Tribolium castaneum: one gene and its partner. The protein of the gene in region 1 purifies or fractionates together with the protein of each later gene. This does not show direct contact. Links are inferred from orthologs where the notes say so. Each region holds a gene or a part of one and is shown on either strand. Other genes may lie near its edges. The genes, in order: E3 ubiquitin-protein ligase MARCHF5 and Drp1.

The links.
Region 2: the proteins of E3 ubiquitin-protein ligase MARCHF5 (region 1) and Drp1 purify together in Homo sapiens (affinity purification with western blotting, with the first as the bait; 3 studies listed by BioGRID). This does not show direct contact. The link is inferred for Tribolium castaneum from reciprocal best matches to the Homo sapiens genes MARCHF5 and DNM1L.

The regions. Positions count from the first base shown.
Region 1 is NC_087395.1:24,411,012-24,421,933, forward strand, and holds E3 ubiquitin-protein ligase MARCHF5, read left to right. Parts: upstream 1-3,997; 5' UTR 3,998-4,236; coding exon 4,237-4,401; intron 4,402-4,446; coding exon 4,447-4,880; intron 4,881-5,074; coding exon 5,075-5,393; 3' UTR 5,394-5,597; downstream 5,598-10,922. Other genes in the region: trbd (ubiquitin thioesterase trabid), read right to left, coding at 150-554; l(3)07882 (nucleolar protein 14 homolog), read left to right, coding at 1,253-2,908, 2,956-3,446, 3,496-3,651, 3,697-3,796; 2-aminoethanethiol dioxygenase, read right to left, coding at 5,700-6,395; uncharacterized protein C2orf42 homolog, read left to right, coding at 6,866-7,565, 7,612-8,036, 8,086-8,208, 8,257-8,505; retinol-binding protein pinta, read right to left, coding at 8,885-9,718. UniProt on the Homo sapiens protein: Mitochondrial E3 ubiquitin-protein ligase that plays a crucial role in the control of mitochondrial morphology by acting as a positive regulator of mitochondrial fission and as an important regulator of immune response.
Region 2 is NC_087398.1:8,856,318-8,868,038, reverse strand, and holds the start of Drp1 (dynamin-1-like protein), read left to right. Parts: upstream 1-6,106; 5' UTR 6,107-6,304; intron 6,305-11,721. Other genes in the region: protein RRP5 homolog, read left to right, coding at 1-128, 178-434, 483-623, 680-881, 932-1,220, 1,274-1,701, 1,756-1,889, 1,940-2,149 and 4 more; propionyl-CoA carboxylase beta chain, mitochondrial, read right to left, coding at 3,350-3,471, 3,541-3,739, 3,787-3,995, 4,101-4,306, 4,487-4,674, 4,725-4,844, 4,889-5,161, 5,206-5,319 and 1 more. UniProt on the Homo sapiens protein: Functions in mitochondrial and peroxisomal division.

The DNA of each region.
Region 1 (10,922 bases):
AACAAAAACAAACCGGTTTTTTGGGTCCGACTTTTGCCTCAAAAATTATTGTAAAATATAATAATGCGAAACTTGTATGATTTAATAGAAACGTAAAGGTGTAGGAATTTGGTTTTAAAAAACGTTAAGAAGTGGATCAGTATACTCACCACACAGATCCACTTCCCTTGCGTCCTGCGACAGTTCTCCAAGTTGGCGATGGTCGGGGGGCTGTTGTTCCTCGAGCGCGCGAGACTCTGCGCCAGATCGGAATGCTGCGACGAGATCTTGAGTGGCTGTATATGCTCGTGCAAATTATTGGCGGAGACTTGCTGGGAAGCCCCGCACTGTTGGCAAACCAGCTCCCGCAACGGATTGGCAAAAGAGCAGCCCTCACAGGTCCACTTCCGCTTCGCGGGCCCCGCGGCCGTCAGCTTCTCGTCGCTGCCGTGCAGCCGGTAGATGTCCTCGCTGACGAAGGGCTTGGGCCCCCGGCACATGGTGCACTTGATGGACGAGGGGTAGTTCTCGTATGTACAGTACTCACAAGCCCATTTCGCATCGCTTTCGCTCATTTTAACGGTTTTGGCTAACCTGAGTAGACAAACGGTGAATTCAGGGCTATGTCATGAGTTTAGCATAGTTGTGAGGGGGCGGACGGGGCTATTTCCGGGGCTCCATCGTCGGGGTGATCACCTGCAAAAGGGGGTCGGGTTAGGGCGGGCGCGCACGGGGGCGGCGGGACCAGGCCGGATGGGCGGAAAGTGACGCTTTTTCCAAATCACGCTCTATCGCTTATTTCTCTCTCACCTTCAACAACAGGGTCAAAGAAATGGTTTTGGAGTGAAGGCACAGTGATTTATGTCTAGTGTAGATCGGAAAACAAATAATTTAGATACCATTTGTGTTCTAATCGATAAGCCTGATGTCAAATCAATCGGAATTTTACAAAAAAACGTCAAAATATTGCTATTTTGACAATCTTCATCACCTGTCCACTTCGTCCATTCTCGACTAAAACAGCGAACTGCCTTACCGGCGCCACCATTGCCAGATTTAACGCGGCCTAAAGACCGTTTTTACGCCCAATTGGCCACTAAAATAATCACCAAAACCGCACCCAAACTCCTGGTATCACCACACAAATTACCGAAGAAAAAATCACAACTTTGGCCACTTTATTAAAAAAAGTCACTCGAGCGATTTCCGGCAACACGGCCACTTGTCACTAGTTGTCAAAGCATAACCTCACAAAAACACGTGTTTTGTCACCATGAAGCCGCGCAAAAAACCCGAAAAAAACGCCCCCAACCCGTTCGAAATCCACATCAACAAGCAAAAAATGACCGTCCTGGGCCAGAAAAACAAAAACGATCGGGGGCTGCCGGGAGTCTCACGCGCGAAAGCGCTCAAAAAACGCAAAGAAACCCTCCTTCAGGAGTACAAACTGCAAAACAAATCGAACAAGTTTACGGACCGGAGGATCGGCGAGCGGAGCCGCGACCTGACCTCTGAAGACAAGCTGATGGCCCGGTTCACCGCCCTTCGGAAAAAAGCGCACAAAAAGTCGATTTTTAACCTGGCCGACGACGAAGTTCTGACCCACAAGGGGCAAACTCTTGCCGAAATAGAGAAATTCGACGACCCGAGGTCGGATAACGAGGACTCGGATGAGGACAAGTCGGGTAAGCTGGACTCAGCGTTTGTGGGGGACGCGCACTTCGGGGGCGGCGTTTTGCGCAAAACGGGCAAAGAAGGGGCGAAGACGCACCGAGAACTGATCGACGAGTTGATTGCCGAGTCGAAGAAACGCAAAGCTGAGAAGCAACGCACCAAGGAGGCGACGCTCGAGCTCACTGAGAAATTGGACACGGAGTGGAAGGACTTGCTGCCGCTGGTGAGCAGGGCCCAGAAGGGGGAGCCCGACAAGGGGGCCGTCGACGACTACGATAAGGTCATGCGTGAGTTGAGGTTTGAGGCGCGCGGGACGGTCTCCGACCGGTTGAAGAGTGAGGACGAGGTGGCTCAGGAGGAAAAACAGCGGTTGGAGGAGTTGGAGGAGAAGCGGCGGGAGCGAATGCGGGGGTTTGAGCCCAAGACTCAGAAGCACCGCAGTGCTGACGATTTAGACGATGATGTTTACGAGGCGGATCCTGAGTACATGCTCAGCTACAACACGGAGGGGGAGGCAAATGTGGAAATTGGGGCTGAGATAAACGGGAAAACTGTTGGTGGGGAAGAAAGTGACGAAGAAGAAGAGTGTGAAGAAGAGGAGGAAGAACAGTCCGATGATGATTTGGCCGATCTTAAGGCCGAAACGAGCGACGAAAGTGACGAGGAAACCGAAGCCAAGGCCACAAAGACTGATGTTGTTGCAAAAACCGACGAAACGTCGGCCGACCTGCCGTTCACGTTCGCACTGCCTGACTCCTACGAGGCCCTCCAGCAACTCCTCGACGACAAATCGAGTCGCCAACAAGCCACGATTCTTGAAAGAATGGTCAAGTGCAATCACCCAAGTCTCGCCGAAAAAAACAAAAACGGACTTGGCACACTGTTTGTCTATTTATTGCAGTATTTGAACGATTGTGCGTCGGAAAAAAGCGCTGCCCGTTTGTTCGAAATTTACAAAAGTTTGGCTCCGCACATTTTTGATTTGGCTCAGCTAAATAAAGAAAATACCCACAGTTCGATGCTTGAAGTGATTAAGGAAAAACACGACGAGTTTAAAAAACGACCGAAGGATTTTCCCGGCTTGGAGTTGTTGGTTTTTTTCAAGCTGGTCAGTTTGTTGTTCACAACGTCCGATTTTCGGCATCAGGTTGTGACCCCGTGTTTTGTTTTTATTGAACAAATTTTGAATAAGTGTAAAATAAAAAGTGGCAAAGATATCGCGTACGGGATTTTTTTAGTGACTTTGGTTCTAGAGGTGAGTTTTTGGGTTGGTGGGACTGTGTTTAAACCACCGATTTTTAGTATACTTCACTATCGAAGCGGGTTTTACCGACTGCGATTAATTATCTCGGAGGGATCTTGCATATGGCGATCCCCAAGTGTGGGGTGAAACTAATCAAAGTCAATCCTCCCTTCAAGCCCACGACAAGTTCTCTAGTTCTTGTTGAAAAGTCTTGCGAGGATTGTGATTTCAAAATGGAAGCTTCTGATTTAGAAAGGGACGAAATTAACGATTCTTTCAAAATCAGAGCAATTTATACTGTTTTAAGGCTAGTTCAAGACTTTGACAATAATCTAGTTTCTCTGCCCTCAAATGTTGAGATTTTTAACGATATTCGAGCGTATTTGGAGTTACTACCGACGCGAAATTACCCGAAAAAGGTCGCCGATTTGTTTGAAAGCGTTTCACAACAATTAAAAAATCGCAAAGTTGAGCGAAAATTAGAATACATTGTTTTGGCAGCAAAACGACCGAAAGCGCTACGCTTATATGAACCTAAAATTGTGGAAGTGTGAGTTATCATTATTTTTTTTTTGTTTTTCGTTAGTTGATGATTGTAGATTTGATGGTAAAAAACGTAAAATTCAATCAAGGGAAAAAGCCGAGCGTGACAAATTGTTACATAAACTTAAGAAAGAAACGAAGGGTGCATTGCGTGAAATACGGAGAGATAAGGCGTTTCTGGGACGTGTCAAAATTCATCAACGCATACAAAGGTAGGCAAAAAAATTATTTTCCAGTTATGACATTATTTTCCGTAGTGATAATGAGCGCAAGGAAAAAGTTAAACGAATTTATGCCGAAGCTTCGATCCAGCAAAGCGAATTGAACAGTTTAGACAGGAAGAAGAAACGCAAGTGAGGCTTTTAGCCCCCTTTAGAATTTTGTAAATAAAAGTATTGTTTTTTAAAGTGAGTTTTTATTTCGTTTAAACAATAAAAATTACTATATATACATTTGAGTTTCATTTATCCATTCCAATTGAAAAAAAAAATGTTTGAATTTTTGTCCAATTACAAATTAGGTTCCCTAAATATAAAAAGTGAGGTTACCTCTAAAGTAAAAAAAAATGAACGGAACGATTTGGGCCTCAAATTCTGCGGTACCACAGGCACAAAAGTGATTAAATGCCCCAATTGCGTTGTCAGTGCCCCCCAGCCTCATTTTAGCCCCCTTTTAGTGACTTTAACTGTCACAATCTGGCGCACCTGTCCCGCTTTTTGACACTTTTTTGACATTCGTTAAATTTTCGTATTTTGGAAATCCACTCTCCTCAACATGCCTCTCCCCATATAAGCCCCATGGACCCCCACGACTCATTCGAAAGCGCCACTGACACCGCGCCCCCCATCCAGCTCAAACCGCGCGATTCGCGAAAATGCTGCTGGGTCTGCTTTGCCACCGAAGACGAAGACTTGGACGCACTGTGGGTCCAGCCGTGCAAATGCCGCGGCACCACCAAATGGGTACGTGCCCCCTGACCCGCAAAACGCCTCTAACCCCGCTTCCAGGTGCACCAATCGTGTCTGAAACGCTGGGTCGATGAGAAGGAGAAGTCGGGCCATGGGGGCAAAGTGGTGTGCCCCCAATGCCAGACCGAGTATATCATAGTCTTCCCGAATATGGGGCTGTTTGTCTTGTTGCTAGACACGGTAGATGGTGTTATTTTCCGGGGCTCGTTGTTTCTCGCAGCGGGGATTGCGGCCAGTGCGATTTACTGGACGGGGGTCACGTATGGGGCCATAACTGTGATGCAGGTCATAGGACACAAGGAAGGGATTGATTTGATGGAGCAGGCTGACCCCCTTGTGCTCCTTTTGGGGCTTCCCTCTATCCCGGTAGCCCTGATTTTGGGGCGCCTGATCTGCTGGGAAGACGCCGTTTTGAAGTTCATGAGACGGCATTGCCCCAAAATCCCCATTATTCACAACGTACTGCCGTTCAGGTGCATATTTTTTACTTAATCAAGTGGCCTATGCATAAATAATCGGTGTTGCCAACTTTATTTAAAAGTCACAGGTCACTTCGTTTAGAAAAAAATCAGGTGGCCTATGACTGAAATGAAGTTGGCAATGATTGGTGTTGGCATTTTTTTTGTCACAGGTCACTTTGTTTAGAAAAAAATGCGTATGTTTTTAGGGGTGATGTCCTCCAGAGTGATACAACGGTCGATAATGACCTGCCTCCAGTCAGCAGCCCTGTCTCAGCGACGCGAATTTTATGCGGGGCTTTACTCATGCCTACGATAGCGAATTTATTCGGAAAATTATTTTATAGTTCAGTGAAATCGAATTTTCATCGAACGATTTTAGGTGGAATTACTTTTATCACAGTTAAGGGATTTTTAAGGATTTATCATAAACAACAACAGTACATCCGGCAATGCCAACGCAAGATTTTAGACTACACTGAAGCCAATATTTCTACTTATTTACATCATAACAGAAATTCTGATTAAATTAATTAATAGGACAAATATTTTTTATAGGTTAATTAGTTGAGCATTCCTTGTTTATTTGACTTGAATTGATAAATTTCGATCAAGTGACCCGTGACGGCACGGGTCACTCGATCACTTGTTAAACGAAATATTTTTGCAAGTAACCAAGACTTCAGATTTATTAAAAAAGCAGTTCTGTTGAATAAAACATTTTTAGACAAATTTTAAACTTAATATGCGTTATCTTATCACAAGAACGGAATTATACACTGGCAAGTCCTAAGCTAAAGAGACTAGATAACAGAAATTAGATTAAGCCCTTCGCTAGGACAAGTCCGGTCCTGTGTAGGGAAACGAGTCAGTCCAGTACCAACTAGGCGAGGTGATTTCCTGCATTCTGAACACACTGGGGGCCACCTCCCTCAAGACCCGGAAATAGGAGCACTTGCGTGCCCCATTCCCCGGAATAACAGTCTCGTAAGGGGGCGCCAAAATGTCAATGAACGCCGCTGGGCCCCCCACACTCTCAATCTCGTGTAAATTCCGCACTTCGGGTTCAAGCACACAACACTCACTGTGGGTTTCTAGTAAATTCTCGGCGCATTTTTCGGCTGTTAGGAACTTCGACCCTGGGGGGGCCTTCCCGTCCACTTGCCGCGTCTTTTCAGTGTTTAGCGAGTAACTGGTGACTTTGAGTTTCCCCCCGACCACCTTAATGAGCCCGTGCATCTGGGGGTGGTTGTGCAGGGGCAGCTTCATATCGGGTTTGAGAATGAAAATGCCGATTGTGAGGTTATAATCCTCGTAGATGTCAATGTAGGTCACTGGGGCCTTGTTGGGGCGCTGCCACAGGGCCTCTGTCATGAACTGGGGGTGCAGGTTCACGTCCTCGGCGGTGGTTTTGTCCAAAAGGGCTTTGAGGATCTCCATGTTTTGGAAGAACAGCTCTTTGTTGGTGAAGGTGGTGACTGCTTGTTTCAAAACAGTGCCGATTTGACTCGTTAGCATTTTTATCAGCATCAGGTCAAGGGAAACAATGTTTGGACGGTTCTAAGGAGCGAAAACTGGAAATAAACACGGGGGCTATCGATTGATTGGAAATTCAAAGTGACAGAAATCAGCTGGACGCGGCTAAACGCAGGATGCGATCTGTCAAAACAATATTGATCCACAAATTTTGGGCGAAGAATTAGTTGTTACAAAAACCTTGCGTGTTATTTAATAAAGAAATGAAAAATTGCTTGTGTTTTTATGCGAGTCAGTACATAATTTTGTAATTTAAATAATGTTTAAATTTCAAAACGACCGAAGCGCCCTCTCTCAAAATCAAAAATTCAAATTTAAAAAAAAAACATAAACCATAGGATAAACTTGTAACATGTGTTATAAATAAATTGATGATTGTCAAAAAGCCAGACTTTGTTTGCTTTCGGCCCCGCCCGTTGCCCCAAATTTTCTTGGCTTGCGTCTATTTATAGCCCCTCAGTGCTATGAATGCGACCCAGTCCATTTACACCTTCCTCCCTGCGTGCTCCTCTCCGGCCAAACCCTTCGCCGATTTGGGCCGGCCCACGAAACGGGGCATAAAAAAATGCCCCAAGTGCGGCATCTACAACGGCACCCGGGGCATGATCTGCAAGAACAAGCACTGCGACGCCGTGTTCAAAGACTACGCCGACAAGCGCAAGTTGAGTCTGGACGCCGTGCGCCTCGTCGGGATCGTGCGCCAGGTGTACTCGGTGCGGGTGCGCGACCGGGGGCCCGACCACCGGGGCTTCGTCCAGCTGCCGCTGCTGAACCCCGAACAGGACGCCCTGTGTTTCGTTGATTCGTGCCAGAGGCTGTTCGACGACTCGATTCTCAAGTGCCATGAGCTGGAGCACAGCGAGACCGCGCTGCTGTGCGTCCACATCGACGCGGCGATTAAGAGCCAGAGCATGGCAGCCCCCATTGAGGTCCAAAAGGAGGTTTTGGCCTCGTTGAAGGTTTCGAAAGAAATTAAAGCGAAGCTGTGGCAGTTGGCCACGGAGAAAGAGGGGCCTCTGGTGCAGAGAGTCTCGCGGACCGTGATGGCGGTCAAGTGCCAAGTGAGCCCCAAACACCCCCTGGGGTACCTCCACTTTACCTTCGGGTGCACGAAAGGCCGCGAGATTTACGACAAGTATTACTGCAGTTGTACCGAATTTATGGGTAGCTTTTGCGAGTCAGTGGGACGTTTCGGTGATTTTTGGACCAGTTTCAGGGATTATAAGCAAGGCGAGCAATGTCCGACTCAAATGTGTGCACTATTATGCGTGCATTTGTGCCCTTGCCAGCGACCCGAAATGTGCGCAAGAGTTTAGTCATTTCATTAATTACGAATTGGAGAACGGCTCCGAAGGGCCACAAGTTGAAAGTGTTAAAAGCACGCCTAAACCTGACAGGGTGCCGAAACTGAAGGTGGTTGAGCGAGTGACGAAACGTCCAAAATTCAAAAAACTGGTCCCTAATGTGTTTCCGGTTGAAATCAAAGTGCTGGAAAGTGTGGAACAAGTCGCCCCAAGTGGGGGAATTTCGTGGGGGTTTATCGAATGGTTGTCTTATGTGACTGAATCCATAAACCAAACCATGCACTTCGAGAATTACGGCAATTTAAACACTTTGGTTTTTTGCATCCCTGAGGTTTGGGCAACGAAATCTTTTATTAAACTTGTTCCGATAATTTTTTTAGGCATTTTTTCAAGAATTTACTAAACGAATTCCAAGTATCTATCGGGAAAACGAAGTTTTTCCTGCCTTTAACTACCGAATTATGAACATTTTGCATCTCAAAGAGATATTTGATACTCCAGATGTGCGTATTTTTTATTTCTAGAGTTGGCAAAATGAATGCGTGTTTTAGGTCAAGTTGAAAATTTCCAAGAGATTTATTCATGACAATCAAAAGGGTTACATTGAGTACGATGTTGATGCAAACATCAGTTGTCAGTCAAGTTTTATTTTTTTCCTAAATGTTGGACAAACCACGGTTGACGAGAGTGACAACACGAATAATCCCTTCTTGATCGAGTGGATCCCCGGAGTCACCAATGCCACAAAAATTGGACAGTTGAAGTTGCAGTATAAATATGGGCGCAAAAGTACTACTTGAATATAATAATAAAACACTGAAAGACTGAAAAAAGAGTTTTATTTCATCACAAATTGATAATCATCACATTAGAATTAGAATTCTCAGGATGACGTCATGATCCAAAAATAGCCATGACCTCATGATGTAAAAATAGCAACAACATCAGGGGATTCACGTACCTTTCAATGTGGGATTCCCCAAAGTGGCGCATGCGCAGACAAAAACAGCGTCAACATCGGGGATTCCCACGATTTCCACAGGGGATTCCTTGAAATGAGTTATAATTTTTTTTACTGGAGATAAGTACGGAATTTGAGTAATAAAGAAACTAAAAGACTGAGAGAAAAAGCGTTTTATTTATTTTATCACAATAACCACTTTGTAAATTAGCTAAAAACTATTCGGCTTTATATTTTTCGTCCTCGGCAAACCACTCCTTCTCCTCCTCCAGCCGGGCCACCCAATGCCCAATCACCTCCTCCAACGTGCCGTCCTCCCCTCCATACTCCTTGGGCAGAACCTCCTTGGGCACAATCTTCAGCACGTCCTCCCGCCCCCCATAATGCACCCTAACCCTCCCCTTCAACTTCTCACTCATAAACCCCTTAAAAATGCTCAAAACCACATTAATATAAATCGGCGCATTCACAAACTCCAACTTCTTCGGCCTGCAGTGGTAATTCTGCCACGACCTCACCGCCTTTTTGATAATCCCGGGGGTCATCTGCCGGCCATGCCAGAACCCCACTCCCTCCATGTCAAAAATCGCCACAATCCCGTAGATCTGGCACAGATGGTCGTCTCTGGTCGCCACGTCCAGAATCATATTTCCCGCTTTGAACACGTCGTCCTGGCGATGCACTCGCGGGTCGTGCGCTGCGGTCCGGATTATCACGACGAGTTGGTTGTCGTGGTGCTTCCGCAGAGGCACGAAGACGCCGAGCCTCGTCAGGGCCCGGATCTGGGGGTGGAGGGGGTCGCGGTTGGAGTACCACTCGGGGATGTCCCGACGCATGGTGTAGTAGTCGGAGAGCTTGCCCTTGGTGCGCTCCAGGTCGAACTTGCAGGCGCGCAGGAAGGCCAGCAGGGAGCGCTCGTCGGGGTTGACGTGCAGCTGGGGGTTGGAGGAGATCCAGAGGCGGAGGGCGGCGAGGCCTGCGGCGAGGGTCTCGGGCGTCTCGTTGAGGGTCTGGCGGGCGTAGGCCCGCGCGGAGTCGGCGAGAGCGGTCATTGAAGCGCTTTGTTCATTGTTGACTGGGAGTTTAGACGAGGTCGTGAGAATCCCCACTACGTCAGAATTGAGTTAACTATTTTTCTAAGCGGACCGAGTGTGAATTGGATGTTAGAGGAGATAGTGTTATCGCGTTGTTGGGATTGTAAATATTATAAATTATAAATAAAGTGCGCGCGATTTGTTATCGGCTCGATTAATAATAAATATCGAGGAACAGAACTATCATTTCTTTCCAAAGTCGATCCGAGATTTTTATGCACTTTTCAAATCTCTAGGACTTCGTATTTTAATCAGTAATCACTCTCGAGAATGCAAAACATTTACTCAGGTCCACCGAAGTTTTTTTTAATAAAGGTATCACTATGCCTAATTTTAGGCAAAGAATTTTAAAAATTCAAATATTGTAAAAAAACAGTACCTACAGTGGGAGATATTTACGTATGGGCTAAATGGGCGGAATTTTAGGGGCTGCAAAAATATCTTTATTTTGATTAAAAAAATGCCTAGTATATACTCGTAGACGTCGTGTATTTTTTTAATCAGTTGCCCCAATTTTAGTTTTTGTCGTATTTTTTTTACTTCGTATATTTTTAATTAATGAGTTTTAAGTTTTTTGTAATTCTAAGTCATATTATGATGAGTATTACTAGCAGAAAACGCCTGAGTAATACACAATACAGAAAAATGTCTTTGAAAAAAGTCAGCGGCAACGTAAGATTAGAAAAAAAAGTGAAAAAGTGGGTACGTTTTTTAAAGCAGAAAACTTTATTAAACAAATAGACATTTTTTTTGGAACTATCTTGCATTTGTAGAGAACTTGTGCTAGAAATAGGTTTGTTATTTCATTCAAACAAACGAAAAAAAGGATATTACTGAATTTAAAGAAAATCAACCAATAAAATTCATGAAGTAAAAGTTGAGTACCTATAACATGTACGTAAAATGAATTATTTTATTGAAAAAATACAAATGCCTTTATAAAAGAAGTATCAACATGGAATTGAAATTATCTATCTCAAAAATTTGTTGTAATTTTCACTTTTTTCACTCTTCAAACGTCGATTACGGCGATAATGAAGTTAGCGAGAAATATCAATTATACTGTTAGTTACGGTATAGAAAGCTTTATTGTTCAATTTTTTATTTTTCCAATTACGGAAAACTGTTTGAAAAAAGGTACAAAAATGTAAGATTTTTTACT
Region 2 (11,721 bases), on another chromosome or scaffold:
TGACAATGGTTCAGTTACAAAGATTCATTCCGATGGACTTGATGTGAAACTTTCAAATTATGAAGTTAAAGCCACTATTCCGTTGGCACATTTGAGTACGAATTTAAGTTTGTGTCCTGTTTTATTAAGTAAGTGTAAATGAGAGTGTGAGAAAACAAGATTAAATTTTTTTGGCAGGATCTTATCAAGTAGGACAAGAGATAGAAAATATCATATGCATTAAAAATTCTGGTGTTGCACCTGTAATGAGTAGAAGAGAATTTATCGAATTAAAAAATCAAACATCCAACAAACATGCAAACAAAATTCCGAAATATCGCCACTTGAGAAAGGGGGCGTTTTTAAGATGCTCATTTGAAGGAGTTGGAGACGGCGGAATTTATGTCTCCAGCCCTATACAAGATTATCACGAAAACATATTCGTAGCAAATGATGTAAGCCTTACAAAACCTTGTAAAAAGTTTTTATAAAAAAAATTTTAGAACATAAATTACAAGCAAGGAACGTTACCCGAATTTGAAAAACAACAGTCTATTATTGCAAAAATTGTAAACCTAGAAGCTGGTATCAAAAAAATTGAGTTGTCCATTGATTGTCAAAATATGGTAAATCCAAGCCTAATTGTGAGTAGTTCTAATACCGCTTACATTTTTGTTGTTTCACGTTAGCGATATTACAGGATTCTTTAAATACACTGAGCGCAACACTTGAAGATTTAAGTTACATTTTAGAGCTTCGCAGCCAACAAAACGATAAACTTACTGAGTATAAAATCGGTCAACGAGTGAAATGTAAGGTAAAAAATGTGGATGAAGACGGAAATGAAATCGCAATTTTACCAAACGGTGTTGAGGGTAGAGTTTCCACTTATTTAAGCACATGTAAGCACGTAATTAATATTTTTTGTGGTGAAAACAGTTGTAAATTTTAGCAAATGCGAAAATTGGTTCGGTTGTGGAGGGCGTTGTTTTGGATTACAATTTTGACGAAAACTACGTCTATATTTGTTCGAACAACGCTCTTAAAGAAAAAATCAACAAGGTACAAGATGGTGTGATTGCGAAACCTTTTGGCTCGTCTTCTGTGGCAAAAGTATTGTTAATTACAAAGTTTTACGTATTGGGGGTTTTGAAACATACTCAATTCAACAAGCAGTTGGTATATTTACCCCTCTTTGAAAATGCTGTTTGTGGAAAACAAATAAAAGTTGTTGTCGATAGGTTTGTATCACGTTGCATTTATGCGTAGATCACGCTTCTTTTGTGAATTTCAGAAATGCGGGAAATAAAATCGTAGGGCTGTTGAAAAGATTCGTATTGTCTTTAAAAAAAGAAACTAAACTACAAGCAAAAAAACTGCAAAAAGGGAAGAAAGTTGAAAAGACTGTTGAAAAAGAGAAATGCATCCAGGAAGAGGAAAATGATGTGGAAGAGGACAGTGATGAAGAAATTGTGATTGAAGAAGAAGCTCTGAGCGATGAAGAAATTGTGAGTGACGAAGAAGCTCTGAGTGATGAAGAAATTGTGAGTGAGGAAGAAGCTCTTAGTGATGAGGAAATTGTGAGTGAGGAAGAAGCTCTGAATGATGAGGAAATTGTAAGTGAAGAAGAAGAAGAAGCTCTGAATGATGAAGAAATTGTGGATAAGCAAAATGAAGAATCTAAAGAAAATATCTCCGATAGCGAGGACGAGGATAGTGCTAGTACGTTACCAGTTTATTGTTGGGGTAAATATTTAGAAACATATCAATTTTCAGAACCAAAAATTACAACTCTTGATCAGTCAAGCAATGCAGAAACACCAAAGGAATCTGTTTTATCCGGCGCGCAGTCATTTTATTCGACTGAAGATAATAATTTGAAAGAAGAATCTTCTGAAGAAGAAGAAGAGGTTTGTAAAAACAAAGAGAGTGAAATACTCTTAACAATACATTGTTACAGGAGATTGACCAAAGTAAGAAGAAGAAAAAACTTACGCCAGCAGAAAGAGCAGAAATAGCAAAGAAAGAAGAAGAAAGGATTTCCAAAATAGAAAATGAATTAGCTGATTCAACGATTCCACCACAGAGCGCAGAACAGTTTGATCGACTGTTACTAGCCAATCCTAATTCGTCGAAATTATGGTTGCAGTACATGTCTATGCATATCGCGGTAATTTTTTTAGATACTCTACATACTTTACAATAGACCAAATTTTAATTTTTAGACAACTGAATTGGACAAGGCTAGAGCTGTAGGAAAACGCGCTCTGGATACAATAAATATGACGCTAGTTAAAGAGAAGTATAATGTTTGGATCGCTTTACTTAATCTAGAAAACATGTACGGAACCAAGGTGAGTAAATCAAACACATGACACGATTTTAAGCTGTTTCTTGTGTTAGGAATCGTTTGATAAAACTTTCGAAGAGGCAGTTAGATGTAACGACTCGTTGGAAATATATTTGAACGTTATACAAATGCTTGCAACATCTGGGAAGTTGCAAGAAATGGAGGAAAAAATTAAGAAAGTTAGGGCCAAGGAAAAACAAAACACTAAAATGTGGTTGGAAATAAGCCGAATTTATTATTCTTTGGGGCAATTCAAAGAGGCCCGAAATGTGAAAGAATCGGCATTGAAGTCAATTCTGGACAAAAAACGACGTAAGTTCGTTACGCTGTGTTAAAGTAATGTTACTGTACCTTATTTTCAGAATTTGATCTCATTGTGAAATTCGGAATAATGGAATTTCAGTTGGGTGAGTTAGATCAAGCGGTTGCTAATTTCGAAACAATTTTGGATACTTACCCAAGTAAGGTCAATATTTGGATTATTTACGTTGACCAGTTGGTACGAAAAAAGAACTTTGAGGCCGCAAGGTAAATTAGAAATCTCCAATGTAACGTATCTGTAGGATTTTTTCGTATTTATTTTTTTAGGAAAACTCTTGAAAGAGCCATTAGTCAAAAGTTTGCCATGAAGACTATGAAAGTGCTGTTCCAAAAGTTCATTAGTTTTGAAGAACAGTATGGGAGTCCCGAATCGGTAGAAGACATCAAAAGTAAGGCAAAAGAATATCTTGCTTCGTTGGGTGTCAAATGATACAAAGTATAAAATAATTAAGCAATTTAAATATGAAATAAACAGCAATTCATTTTATAACTAATTTGAGAATCTACCTACCCCTCCTTGACTTTAATTTTTTTTTTTTTTCATAATTTAATTACGTTCAAATGTTTGGGGTGTAAGACTTCCATAAAGATGAGTTTATTTTTATTGTTTTAGAACGTTAAAATAATTTTGTACAAGTTACAAAGATGAGCATCTGTTGTTAAAATTAAACTAGAAAATATAAAATTATAATAGACTAGTTATAAAGGCATATTGCCGTGCTTTTTTGGAGGGTTCACTAGTTTTTTTGTTGCTTGGACTTCCAAGTCTCTGCAAAGTCGCCATCTAGTTGTACGTGGCTCAATAATGTCATCGATAAAGCCTGAAAACATTAATTAATTGAGCGGTCTGTTAATAAAAAAATGTTCGTTTTTTACAGCTGTAAACGTACCTTTTTGGGCAGCAGGTATAGGGCTGTTGAACATTTCTGTATATTCATTAACATATTCTGTAACATCGCTTTCATTTCGGTGCAAAATTGATACAGCGCCCTTAGCTCCCATCACGGCAATTTCAGCTGATGGCCAAGCATAATTAACGTCTCCTCTCAAATGTTTGGATGACATTACATCATAAGCTCCACCATAAGCCTAACACATATTTCTTGTCAACTGTTAACTAAACATTTGTTACAAACTTTTCTGACAATCACGGTGAGTTTGGGAACTGTAGCTTCAGCATAAGCGTACAATAACTTCGCTCCGTGTCTGATAATTCCCGCATGCTCCTGAGAAATTCCTGGCAGAAAGCCTGGGACGTCAACTAAAGTAATAATCGGCAAATTGAACGCATCACAGAAACGCACAAATCGCGCCGCTTTTACGGACGCGTTAATGTCCAAACAACCTGAAGTTATTTACTTCATTTGTACTGTATTAAGTACTAATTAAAATTAGTTCATAAAGTGTTACTTTTATGGTAAAAACCACATTTTATGAACTACCAATTTACCAGCGGCGACTTTTGGTTGATTTCCAACGAAGCCGACAGATCTGCCATTCATTCGTGCAAATCCAACCACAATATTTTTAGCATAATTTGGCATTATCTCAAAAAATTCTCTTTCGTCCACTATGCAGTGGATTATGTCCAGCATGTCATAGGGAGCGCTAGGTTCTAGCGGAATTATTGAGTCCAGAGCCAGGACATCTAAGTCACTAGAATTTAAAATAATTTAAAGTAAAATACTACGGCCTTACTAAGGTATCGACATTTTTTTGTAAACATTTTTATCTAGAACGCTAATTTTTCGTAATTTATTTCCGGTTTACATCAAGATAATCTTATTGCAACATTTATCACGTAATATGATTAAGTGATTAAATAATTGTATTAACCTTCGATCGTCGCAAATCCTAATAGGTGCCGGGTGATTACGTGACTGAGGTAGATAAGTTAAAAAATGTCTTAATTGCAAGAGAGCGTCAATATCATTTTTAAATGACTTATGTGCATTTCCCGATATTGTTGTATGTGTTCGGGCACCACCTAATTCCTCTCTAGTGACTTCTTCGTTATTCACTGACTAGAAATGATATCAAAGCGTATAAAAAATACTTTGTTTAAACAATTTACTTTGATCACATCAGGGCCTGTAACAAACAGAAACGAAGTGTCTTCTACCATAAACACAAAATCTGTGAGCGCCGGTGAATAAACAGCGCCTCCAGCACATGGACCCATAATTAGTGATATCTGACAAAAAAATAATTATCTTAAATACAACGTAATTAATTAACCTGGGGAACAACTCCGGAGGCCAAAACATTTCTCTGGAATATATCAGCATATCCAGATAACGATTCTACGCCTTCTTGTATACGCGCGCCTCCGCAGTCATTCAGTCCAATAATTGGGGCACCGTTTACTATTGCTTTGTCCATCATTTTACAAATTTTCCTCGCATGGACACTCGAAAGACTTCCACCAAACACGGTAAAGTTTTGACTAAATATGTATACTGGGCGTCCATTAACCAAGCCATGACCTGTAACTACAGAATCGCCTGGAAACTATGTTAATAAATGAAAAGCTGTTGCAGTTTTTCCTGTGTTACTTTTTGTTTGTCCATTCCAAAATTTGTGCAAGTGTGTTCTACAAACATATCGTATTCCACAAAACTGTTGTCGTCAAGAAATAAGTGAATACGCTCGCGTGCTGTTAGTTTTCCCTATAAAATGATTAAATTGTTACGTGGACACTGCTCTCAAGCCATTGTAATTTTTTTAATTTTTTGCTCTAATGCCGAGGTAAGTACGCAACTCAACGGAAATTGAACAGTAATCGCATGCAAATAAATATTAGGAGATTCTTTAAAACAAGAAATTATGGACCTGTTATTACAATATAAAAGCACTGACCTTCTTATGTTGTTCATCGATTTTATTTAGCCCACCTCCTAAAAGAGCTTGGTTTTTGATTTGATTTATTTGTTCAGCAACCTTAGTTTTATAAGCCACATTTGTGGCACTTTTTGAACCATACCTCACAATATTTTTTGTTGTTTTTGATAATTTAAAATTCTTTAGAAAATTGGCAGACATTTTATTCTTTCACAAGTTTAGCAGCTGATACCTCGTCAATAAACAATATATTTGAGATAAGAAGAACGCAGTTTTTACCAGTTTAACGAATTCCATTAAGATTCCATTAAGGATAATTACAATAATTAAATCGTTTGATAATTTTTTGCAAGCGACTTTTTTCTCAAAACTGGATTACTTTTTTAACATTTTTTAAAGTTTCTCCCCATACAATTTGCGGAGTGTTAACATTGATTGAGTAATAAAATACATGACTATTTTGAAAGTAGTTTTTTTGCAACATTTTTTGTTTTAAACTTGGTTCAATTCTCTTAAATATTTCGATAACACGTAAGTATTTGAATATAACGCCACACTGTGCCGCTAAAATTTAATTTGAAATAAGTGTGAGGATACCAACAGAATACCAGTAAAACAACCAACAATGTCACCAAAACTAAACTGACACAAAAAATCTGATTGTCCGCTTTTCAGTTGTGGATTTAACGTTCAGAGCAATTCGTTTATTAAAATTAACGCCCAGTTTTATATTGAGTGTTGTGTGATTTTAAACGATGCTGGTATAGCTACCAGTCTGTTTAAGATTGATAGTTTAAAAACTAGCTCGCAGTATTACGGTGACGATAGCACTTTGGAAAGAGCTAGCACCATGAAATTTCCAGCGGACCAGTCAAATCACGGATGTGCGTTTTCAGCACTTTGCGACGTTGCTACGTTTCTCACAAATTATAAGAAAATAAATTATTTACTCATTTTCTTTTAAAATTCAAGTGTATTGTTATTAAAAAAAATAAAGTAAATGCAATTTCAAACTTGTTGTATCTTTGAAAGCAATGGGGGATGTAGATAGTTTACTAGTTGACACAAAAAGGTGAAACCGCCTAATAAAGGCAAAACAAAAACGAGGAGGGCATGCTACCCAATTATTTAGGGGGCAGATTCCACCTAAATAAGATAATTATTCGTTAATTTCTTCTTCAAAAACATTATTTGAAAAAAAAAGTTAATAGAACGACATACTAATTCAAACAGAGGGTTAGATGTCTTCCCAAACTTTTAGAGGATTGAAATTTTCAAGAAAGGTAGGTATTTAATGGGCTTTCATGTGGAATGGGTTAAATGCGTCGACAAAAAGAAATAGTACTAGAAAAAAATATTTAATATTATTAATAAAATGTTGACATATTTCAAACTAAGGGTTGGATGTCTTCCCAAACTTTTAGAGGGTTGAAATTTTCAGGAAAGGTAGAGTATTTAATGGGCTTTCATGTGGAATGGGTTAAATGCGTCGACAAAAAGAAATAGTACTAAAAAAAATATTTAATATTATTAATAAAATGTTGACATATTTCAAACTAAGGGTTAGATGTCTTCTTAAACTTTTAGAGGGTTGAAATTTTCAGGAAAGGTAGAGTATTTAATGGGCTTTCATGTGGAATGGGTTAAATGCGTCGACAAAAAGAAATAGTACTAGAAAAAAATATTTAATATTATTAATAAAATGTTGACATATTTCAAACTAAGGGTTGGATGTCTTCCCAAACTTTTAGAGGGATGAAATTTTCAGGAAAGGTAGAGTATTTAATGGGCTTTCATGTGGAATGGGTTAAATGCGTCGACAAAAAGAAATAGTACTAGAAAAAAATATTTAATATTATTAATAAAATGTTGACATATTTCAAACTAAGGGTTGGATGTCTTCCCAAACTTTTAGAGGGATGAAATTTTAAGGAAAGGTAGAGTATTTAATGGGCTTTCATGTGGAATGGGTTAAATGCGTCGACAAAAAGAAATAGTACTAAAAAAATATTTAATATTATTAATAAAATGTTGACATATTTCAAACTAAGGGTTGGATGTCTTCCCAAACTTTTAGAGGGATGAAATTTTCAGGAAAGGTAGAGTATTTAATGGGCTTTCATGTGGAATGGGTTAAATGCGTCGACAAAAATGGAAAGTTAATTTTGTAAGACATAAAAAAGCCAGTTGAAGCCAGTTTTGCACTTTTATGTCAATCAAATTACAATTCGTCCGAAATTCTGTATTTGTAATTATTATTTTTTATAATAATTATAATGCTTATCTCTTTCTTGGCAGCGACCTTGTGATAAGTATCTGGGTAATAATAATAAAATCACAATTCGTGCATTTTGATAAATTATAAATTTTTGAAGAACTGCTTTTCTCGTAGGTACCTTAAAACGAAAATTAGTTTATTGAAGTCGTGTTAATGAGCCGATTTTTACGAGATAAAAAGGTAAAAAGGGTATACCGATTATTTGGAAAACATTTTATTGGTCTACTTAGAATCATCCCGGCTTCCCGGCTACGCGGTATTTTCTTAGAATTTAGAGTAATCGTCTGCTACCTTATCTCTGTCTGCTATAACGAGTTATACCGATTCTCGATTCATCTGAATTTGCAGTTATTGCATGGCTTTGGTGATAGCAGGTGTATTTTGCTGAGCTTTTGCGCGAATTAATTTTGTAAGAACCTTTTTGCTTTTCGGAATCTTTTCTTTTGTTTTTAGTTTATTGGTTTTGTTTTCAGCATTTATAGTCGTTAGTTTTAGAATTTTTAGATTTTTTAGTTTTTGAATTTTTGGGTTTTTTTAGTTTTAGAATTTTTAGTTTTTAGTTTTTTATTATTATTTTTGTTGTCTACTTTAAAAAATGCCCAAGAATTTTGATTTCAAGGAATTAGCCGATTTTATCAAAAGTTTGGCTCCTAATACATCACTTACATACATCGCAAATCTACCTTTAAGTGATCGGATTATTCATGAATCTTCTATTTACATGTTCCGCCTTTCTAAACCTAGCAAACGAAGGTTAAACGATTGTAAAAATCGTATTAAGAAAATTTTGTCGCGGAACGAAGGAAACATAAAACAGTTTTTCCATAAAAAAATCGTCGAATCCAAAATCATTTCTAATAGTCCCGTTTTTTTTGATAATCATTACACTACTGAAAAAAATGATTTTTCAATTAACTCACCAGAATCCACCAATCAGTTTTCTTCTTTCGATAATTACAATGATTTCCATATTACCGATTTTTCAGTGAATGACGTTCCAAATTCAATAAAAAATTTATATAACCAACCTAATAAATCAAAATTTACTCTTTTGCCAGAAAATTCACAAAATGATATATCAATAAAACGTTTAAAACCAATGTCTTTTAAAAATTGTAATATTAAAGAAGGCACTTTTTCACTAAGTTATGAACAATTTAATGACATTAAATTTAATAATTCTTTAATTAACTATCAAATTACTGTGAGGAAGAAATTTGCAACAGTTAATAATATTTGTCCTCTTAATTTTAAAAAACACCAATCAGACAAGAAAGGAAAAAAATTTACAATTTATGCATATTGTGCACATGAAAATTGTAAAGTGTTTATCATTAAATTGTCGCCAGAAAAACATGATATTATTGGAACCGTTTTTAGTAATACACTAAATTATCGGCACGATAACCAAAAAAGGACAACTTTTGTGAGAAATTTTGAAAGACAGCTATTAGGAAATAAATTGCAGACATCGACTCCATTCATGACACGAGTTCGGGATACAAATTTTGTTCCCTCGGATCAAATTCGCGCAGGAAATTATGATAATATAAAATCCAAACATGTGTACAAAAAAATCAAGTCACAGACTCTTTCTAAATTAGATAGAGATACAGACGAATTTTTCGATCTTATAAAAATGTCGAGAGAAAACCGCCAGTATATTTATCGCGTTTTTGAGCCCCTAACAGTGTATTTATTTAGTATTGAACAGTTAGAAGTTATTAAACATGCACTGTCTCAAACAAATAATGGGTTTATAGTTTTACATTTAGATGCAACCGGAAGTGTCGTCCATTCTCCCCCTGAGACGAAAAAACGTGTTTATTATTACGCTGGAGTGGTACACATCAAAGATAAAGAACTTGTTTGTCCTGTTTTCGAAATGATAACTTCCGAACATGATGGTTATTCTATTGGTTCATGGTTACAGGCTTTTGAATCATTTATTGTTAAAAGTAAACAGCTAAAATGGCCCATTTTTTCTTATGTGGTTACCGATTTTAGTTTCGCTTTTATTAACGCCATCACCACACAGTGGAATAAAATGGATGATATTAGTGTATACTTAAATATTGTATACGATTATATAACATCAGAAACGACTGTTCGACCAAAAATCACTTTAAAATTATGTTGCGCTCATTTTATGAAATTAATAACAAATGACATTAACAAGATTTGCGGTAGCAATAAAACTCAAAAAAAATTTTTCAAACATTCTATAGCAGCTGTTTTTATGAAAACATCTTTACCTGAAGTGGAGAAGTGGTTCAAAAAGATGGTTTTAATTACTTCAAAAGAATTTTTAGATCTCGATGGGAAATTAAGCAATGTAATAAGCAAAATGTTTGATACATTAAATAATAGTAAAGATCTAGAAGACATAGATGAGGAAACTGAAACCGAAACTGAGGACACCGAAATTCCCCATACACTTTATCAAAAAAGCAAGTTTTATAGACATTTTTTCAAAATATGTGAACAAGATAAGAAAATGATTAATAGTGCAATAGATTCAGATAATATCAATATATTCTACAATCCTCTGATTTTAGATCTCATTTTAAAAAAATATTTACCAATTTTACCTCTTTGGTCAAATATTTATCCAAATTTACGTGATCGTGATAGTATTGGAAGATTTAGCAATGCGCCTGTGGAAAATTGGTTTTGTCAGGTGAAAAATAATATTTTGAAGCCAACTGGACTAAGACTTCGAAGTACTAGATTTATTCGAGTAGTTCGAGAAGTTGTCTTGAGTAAATCAAAAGAATGTGCACTTAATATAGATAAAAATCAATGTGCTATCATAAAGAAAAAGCGGATACAAACAAAAAATATTGATTTAGGATTAGAATCAGAAGAAAACTGGAACAAAAAAATTAAATCCGAAAAGAAAAAGTCATATTTTGAAAAACCAATTAACGAAATTCATCCTTCCCGTTCAAAATTCAATTCCAAAGTAAAAGAAATTAAAAACGTAGATTTTTATAATAACAATTTAATTCGAGATGACAGGTATTATACATTGGGAAACTCAGGCGTCAATTACGTTGTAGGATATTATTCTAATGCTCATCCAATGAAAGAACTTTACCTTGAAGATTTCGAGACTTTGGGAAATTTTAAAAATTTTAGAAAAATGTGGCTATCAAATTTTCTTATGGACATAAGTCTTCATGTTTTATATACAAAAAATCAACATAAAGACACTGTTCGTATCATCACAACGCATGAAACATTATCAATTTTTGAAAACACTTGTCCAAAACTTACTCACACACTAGAAGGAATTTGGTTGTTGCCTTTGTTAATAAATCAAAACCATTGGTGCTTTGTGATAATAGACTTTAATAAAAAAACATTTAGTTTCATTAACCCACTCAAAATAAGCAACCTTAATCAAACTGAAACATACTTAAAAAAATTTTTATTAGGAATTAGAGCACCAAGGCGATTTTCTTTTACGCATTGGAGATGTAATATTTTTAAACATCCTGTTCAAAAAAATGCTTACGACTGCGGTGTTTATGTTTTATTATTTGCAGAAAAATTTATAAAAGAGGAAAATCCAGATTTGTATTCGTGTTATGAACCAGAAGAATTTCGAATCATTTTAAGAAATTTGTTATTAGAAATGTCAGATGATATGGAAAATAGATGTTTGATTTGTGGGCAATTAAATTTAAATGTGACAACAGATTGGGTAGAGTGCGACTCCTGTAAGCGCTGGATCATGCTAAACTGTCTACCTCCAAGATTAGCTCCTTCTAATATTTCTGAAAATTTTACATGTTTTGCCTGTCAAAATTATCAGAACCTGTAGTTTATTTCTTTATTCTTTATTCTTTGTACCATATGATTCAATACGGGTGATTCAAAAGTGTCGTACAATCTGTTAAAGGACATCTGTCAAAGGTCAAAGGACATCAAACTGAATTGAAGGTTC